Rattus norvegicus: one gene and its partner. The protein of the gene in region 1 interacts with the protein of each later gene in a pairwise test. Links are inferred from orthologs where the notes say so. Each region holds a gene or a part of one and is shown on either strand. Other genes may lie near its edges.

Evidence for each region. The genes of interacting proteins can lie anywhere in the genome.
Region 2: the proteins of Pex6 (region 1) and Pex26 come close enough for resonance energy transfer, tested with the Homo sapiens proteins (2 studies listed by BioGRID). The link is inferred for Rattus norvegicus from reciprocal best matches to the Homo sapiens genes PEX6 and PEX26.

Annotation. Positions count from the first base shown.
Region 1 is NC_086027.1:21,755,125-21,757,932, reverse strand, and holds the end of Pex6 (peroxisomal ATPase PEX6), read left to right. Parts: coding exon 1-102; intron 103-377; coding exon 378-439; intron 440-610; coding exon 611-719; intron 720-977; coding exon 978-1,094; intron 1,095-1,312; coding exon 1,313-1,390; intron 1,391-1,525; coding exon 1,526-1,665; coding exon of another isoform or gene 1,666-1,833; coding exon 1,834-1,970; 3' UTR 1,971-2,182; downstream 2,183-2,808. Other genes in the region: Gnmt (glycine N-methyltransferase), read right to left, coding at 2,241-2,780. UniProt on the Homo sapiens protein: Component of the PEX1-PEX6 AAA ATPase complex, a protein dislocase complex that mediates the ATP-dependent extraction of the PEX5 receptor from peroxisomal membranes, an essential step for PEX5 recycling.
Region 2 is NC_086022.1:156,093,361-156,097,010, reverse strand, and holds part of Pex26 (peroxisome assembly protein 26), read right to left. Parts: intron 3,499-3,650; coding exon 3,352-3,498; intron 487-3,351; coding exon 383-486; 3' UTR 1-382. UniProt on the Homo sapiens protein: Peroxisomal docking factor that anchors PEX1 and PEX6 to peroxisome membranes. PEX26 is therefore required for the formation of the PEX1-PEX6 AAA ATPase complex, a complex that mediates the extraction of the PEX5 receptor from peroxisomal membrane.

The sequences.
Region 1 (2,808 bases):
GGGCCTAAGACGATCAGGCCTTCTGCTCCATGGGCCCCCAGGCACTGGCAAGACCCTGCTGGCCAAGGCGGTAGCCACTGAGTGCAGCCTCACCTTTCTCAGGTTGGCAGGGCTCCTACAGAAGGTGGGAGGCTGGGAGCTCTAGCAGGTGTAGGGGGAGGGGAGCTGTAGTAGGTGTGTGTGGGGGAGGGGAGCTGTAATAGGTATGGAGGGGGGCTGTAACAGTGAGGGGGGTTGCAGCAGGTGGAGGGAAGGGAAGATGTAGTGGGTGGGGGGTGTAACAGGTAGGGGTGGGGGGAGCTGTGGCAAGTGGGGAGGGGGAGGACAATGGTCTTGTGCATGTCTGATGGGTCTCACTTGCTCATTCTTCTGCTCAGTGTAAAGGGGCCAGAACTCATCAACATGTATGTGGGCCAAAGTGAGGAGAATGTTCGGGAAGGTGAGTAAGCAGGGAGAGGCAGCCTCGGGCCCTTCCCCAACTCCAGCAGCCTTGTGCCTCCATCTTCCCCAGCTGCTGCTCACAGTCGCCCCAGCTGGGCAACTGTCTGGGTGGAATGGAAGTCAGGCCCACTTGCCATCCTCCTCCCCTGACTTCAAGCCTCTTTCTCAGTGTTTGCCAGGGCCAGGGCTGCTGCCCCGTGCATCATCTTCTTTGATGAACTGGACTCCTTAGCTCCGAGCCGTGGACGGAGTGGAGACTCTGGAGGTGTGATGGACAGGTCAGGGGTTCGACTGGTAATGGAGTCTGGGATCCCAGAAGGGAGGAACGTGAGATTAGTCACATCAGTGTCCAGATCAGGTCTCTAAGATAGGAGTTCTGCTCTTCCGGTTCAGAGTTAGAAGGGAGGCCAAAAACACATGGGAGCTTTGAGGAGGCTCACCTGTGTGGGGAGGGACATGGGGCAGGGCTCGGCAAGGCACCTTAGTCTGAAGGCACAGCAAGGACTCTCTGGCCTTTGCCTCCCCCTCCCGTACAGAGTTGTGTCTCAGCTCTTAGCTGAGCTGGACGGGCTTCACAGCACTCAGGATGTGTTTGTGATCGGAGCCACCAACAGACCAGACCTCCTGGATCCTGCCCTTCTGCGGCCTGGCAGGTGGGCATCCTGGACCTTTCTCCTTTTTTTTTTTTTTTTTTTTTTTTTTTTTTTTCCGGAGCTGGGGACCGAACCCAGGGCCTTGCGCTTCCTAGGTAAGCGCTCTACCACTGAGCTAAATCCCCAGCCCCCTGGACCTTTCTCCTTAACCTCTATCCTGTGCTTCCTTCACCTCCCATGTGGCGGCCCTGACACTTCCTGTTTCTATCTCTCTGAAGATTTGACAAGCTGGTGTTTGTAGGAGCAAGTGAGGACCGGGCCTCCCAGCTGCGCGTTCTGAGCGCCATCACACGAAAGTACGCTCTGTCAGAGAGCTGGGGCGGGGCTGTCAGAGCTGGGGCGGGGCTTGGGATGGTTAGGGGGATGTGTGCCAGTCAGTGTGCCTTCTGAGGGTGAGGCCAGCTTTAACATTTCTGGTGTGGGTATGATAGGTTCAAGCTGGAGGCCTCTGTGAGCCTGATGAATGTGCTGGATTGCTGCCCGCCTCAGCTGACCGGCGCAGACCTCTATTCTCTCTGCTCTGACGCCATGATGACCGCCCTCAAACGCAGGGTCCGAGACCTAGAGGAAGGTGAGCCCTTGCCAGCACTAGACGGGAACCAAGAAACTAGGGGAGACAGTCCTGGAATTCCAGAGGAACGGCTGAGCAGGAGGCACCTCCCCAGGTTGCTCTCCTACCTAGGCATAGATTACAGCTGGGGTCAGGGCTCTGGCCTCACTGTTCCTCGCCATCCCTCAGGGCTGGAGCCTCGGAGCTCAGCACTGTTGCTCACCATGGAGGACCTGTTGCAGGCCGCAGCCCGGCTGCAGCCCTCAGTCAGCGAGCAGGAGCTGCTGCGATACAAGCGTATCCAACGCAAGTTTGCTGCCTGCTAGGAGCTTCCTGCCGCCTGCAAAAGCCCACCTGGCTGGAGGTAGCTGCCACCTGCCACCTGAAGGCTGCCTCCCTCCAGGAGATACCCTGAGATCCCTAGTGGGAGGCCCTTGTGCCCAGGAGAAGAGGCAGGGCTGGCAGCTTGGGGGCGTGGCAGCCTGGAATGGGCATTGAGGCCCCAGTTCTCAGACAGAAAATAAAGTCTATACTGCCCCCTGCTGGTCTTGTGAGAGGTTGCGGTGCAAATGCCAAGGTTATGGGAAGAGTAAGGTCTAGGGAAGGTGGGATGAACACCACATTACTTCTGAAAGAAACACAGGGCACAGGATTGGCAAGGGAAGGCTGTATTGTCGACTCCCTGTTTGCCTGCCCCCCACATCTCTGCAATATCTGTGGTAGGCGATGGTCTTAGGGTGGGAGCCGGAGCCAGGCTCAGCCTGTCTTCTTGAGCACGTGGATGAAGTAGCAGGGAACGTAGGCCTGGCCGGGCCTGTAAGGCTTGAAGTCACCCAGGACGCTGTGCTGGCACCTGCCCCCAAAGGCTTCTTGGACCAACTCCGTGAAAGACGCCAAACAGTGTGGGTAGTAAGAGAGCCGAAACTTACTGCAACAGGGCCCCCAGCCAAATAATGAGGGCTGCTGGCCTCAAGTCTCCCCCACCACCACCTCTCCTGCCAAATCATGCCATACCTGAAGCCAGGAGCGCCATCTCTGCCAGCACCTGGCACCTGCACTGTGTAGTCCAGGGTTACCATGTGGGCTTTGTTGTTTACTGTCAGCACTGATGTCGTAATGTCCTTGGTCAGGTCACTCTGAGGGCAGTGGCATCAGCTGCATTAG
Region 2 (3,650 bases), on another chromosome or scaffold:
ATGGCTAAGGGCCGCTCCACCGCGTTTGTGAATCGCAGCTCCTCCAGCGCCCGATCTGGAAGGTCACCCTCTGCCTTTGTCAAGAAACCACAATGTCTCAAGACCCAGTCCCTGCTCCTAAACCCCTTCTTTTTGAGGAGCTGTGCAGAATTCTGTGCGCTGGCCTCGGGCACCACTGTTCACACACTCCTTTTGAGGCCAGCCACAATGGGATACGGAAGGGCGGGTTCACAGGCAAGCCATGGCTCTCCCGCCTTGGCTCCTCCTCCTAGAACGAATGGGCCCACTGCCATGGTGCCATCTGGGACCCAGCCACTGGGCTCGGCTTTTCCGCTTCTGTAGATGGGGACTGTAAGAAGCAGAGGCAGCCACGTAGGACCACTCAGTCCCGGAGGGTGAGCGGGTAGAGCCGAGAAAGCGTGGCCTTCTGGATCCGGCGGAAGAGCTGGGTCAGCTGGTAGAGGAAGGGCAGTGAAGAAGGAGCTGCTGTGGGAAAGGAGAGACTATCGTGAGTGTTCTTCCCTCAGCCCCTCCGAGGCAGCTAGAAAACACAGCCAGGCTTCCTGCTATTCGCAGCCTCCTCGGCAACAAGAAATTTCACTTTCTCTGAAAATTTTTTTTCCAGTTGAATTACAATAACTTTAAATATTCTAGAAAAAAATCCAGATTTATTACATCTTAATCATTCTGGCATTTACACAACCGCTGGTGACTCTCAGAAGCCTACACCGAGCTTCTGGTGTCGGGCGTGTCTCAGGTGTGTCTTGCTTTCTTCCAAATGCCTCTTTCCTAACTTTCCATGCTTAGGCCTCTGTTAAAATTTTTCTTCGGGGCTGGAGCGATGGCTCCGTAGTTAAGAGCACTTGCTGCTATTGCAAAGACCTGGGTGCAGTTCCTAGCACCCACATTAGAGGCTCACGACCAGTTCCAGGGTATCTGACACTTCTGGCTTCCAAGAAAACCAGGCATGCATGTGGTACCCATCCACATATGCAGCCTCATACATATTTTTTAAGTCTAAAAAATGTCTGTTAAGCCCCAACTCCACTTCCTGAAAGAAATAATTAACAACCATGGGAGCAACGTCTACCACTAGGGAGAGCCATTTGGAAAAATTTCACTGCACTTTTTGCCTTTCTGTGCCTTTCAGTTTGAAGCCTTAGGACAGTTTGACGTATTTTACCACGAATTAACGACATTGAAAATTTAAAAAAAAAAATCAAAAAACAAAAAACAAAAAACTACCATTTGTTTCGTTTCCTTGTTTGGATTACAGACTTAAAAAATACATATTTCTACTTTTAGTTTGATTTGGGGAGGTTGGCCAGGTTGGGCAAGGATGACAGAGTTGGGCCTTCTGCTTTCGCCTCTTAATGCTGGGACTCCAGGTGGGAGCCACCACACCAAGTTCTTTGTGGTGCTGGGAACTGAACCCAGGCCTTAGTACATACCAGGCAAGTGTGGTATCTGAGCTCATCCCTGGCCTCCAAAATAAGGAATACATATTTCTCTCTTAAACACCCTAGCACCTTAGAGAGCTAGGACAGGGGCTTCAGCTGGCACTGGAGGCCAGCCTGGGCAAGGCTATGAGACACACACAGACCTGCTCCTCTAAGTGGGGGGAGCAGTGTTTAGGGCTAAGGAGATGGCTCGGTAAAGTACTTGCCAAAAAGTGTGAAGACCTAAGTTCGAATCCTAAATACTCACTTGAAAGCCAGGCATGGGGTAGCACATACCTGCAACCCCAAGGCAAGTGAAGAGACTCAAAAACTACAGCAGAAGGGCTGGGACTGCAGCTCAGTGACAGAATAGTCACTCCTCAGGGCTGAGGGCCTCAACTTAATCCCTGGCCACTGTCATCCTTATCATCACCATGTGGAGTAGCCAACAGTGCACACACGCGCGCACATGCATACACACACATGCACAAACGCATACAAACACATATAGACATGCGCACACGCATGCTTGCATAGTGGGAGCAGTGGGAAGAAAGGTGTTTATTCCTCTAAGGCTGGAGATGCAACCCAGTCCTTCCTACATGTATGTATGCCACATGCATGCCCAGCCCTCCATACCTGTTATTTTTCTTTAAAGTAACTGACCTTCTCCCCAAATTCTATTTGCAGCGCCACCCACCCCCCATGTGGGTCCTCCTCTCCTGAGGAGAGCTGCTCAGTACACACCCAAGTTTGAATGGTTTTCTTGGTCACCATTTAGGAGATCAGGGTTTAGGGGAAGTCATAAGGAACTTCTACTAAATTCTTATCAACTATGCAAAGTAGAGAGTCAAGGACAGATGGGAAATCACAGGAACTGAACTTCCCCTTTTCAAACGTGTTTTTCCAGCACTGAGAATGTGCTTCCCACGGTAGGGGTGTCTCTGCTCACCCCTCATTTCTGTCCTGTTTCTGGAAGCTGCTGGTGGCTTTCTTGTATAACCAACAGAGCTGTCCAGAGAGGACATTCCTGCTCAGAGTCCAACAAGTGAGAGGGGAGGTGAGGAAAACAGGGACCTAAAGTCAAAGGTTTAAAACCAGGCGAACTGTGTGGCTCTGGTCTAGTCACTCTGGTTATTAGATTTCTCAACCAACAATGAAAGAAAATTAAAGGCTTCTCATTTCTCCTTGGTTTTGAAAGTTGCACAATCCTATCTACATCTAAATTCTTGAGAAAGTACAGACTGCTTCACAACCCACAGAGAGTGACTCGGAAAGTCTGGCTTGGTGGTGCACGCCTGCAACCCCAGCATCTGGGAGGCAGAGACAGAAGGTTCGACACCATTCTGCACTATACAGTAAGACTTGTCTTTTGTTTTTGTGTTTCTCGAACGGCAGTCAGTCACCTAACTGTGGCCCAGAGTCCCATATCTGAGTGTCCACTACACAGGTGTTTTCCCGAGTCTCACCTCTACTCCACAGTGAGGCAGAAGAGATTAATCACCCAAAGGACTGACACATATCAATCAGGGGAAAAGTCTATAAACCAGAATATCATTTAGCTGTTTCACATTTTTTCCCCCACATCGTCTAAAATATGTCAGACTTTCACTTACGATTTCAGGGTCATTACACGAGCCAGGAGACCTTAACTAATTTAGGTTTTACTATGAGAAAGCTTCTTAGCATTGCATTCTGATCAGAAGTCACCCCTGGATGGAGCAGGGCCCAGGTGAGTCCATCGGCATGCAGAGCAGCAGGGAAATGTTCTCCAACTGCTCTCCTAGGATCTGGGCCTGGTCTCCCCCCCAGGTGAGGTAGACTCTAGTTCTTTGTGGGACAGGCTCAATATCACAGGAGGTGGCGCCCTCCCAGGCTCTCACAGACCCTGCCGCCACACCCCTTCACTCACCTGGATCAAACCGTAGAACCAAGAGACAGAGGATCAAGGCAGCCAGGAGGCCCTTTCTAAAGGGCTGGGAGAGAAGGTGGCTCACCGCAGAGCCACAAAGGCGGCGAAGCAGCATCAGCAGTGACAGCAACTTACGGGGAAATGAACCTGGCCAGGGGACAGAGCGTCATCACAGGGTGAGTCAGGCAAATCAGATCTGAAGAGTCAATCCAAACCAAATGAGAATGACTTCCTTGCACAACTCATTAAGCAATTCAAAAGAAAATACTAAAAGCTTAAAAATAAAAAGAGGCATCGTT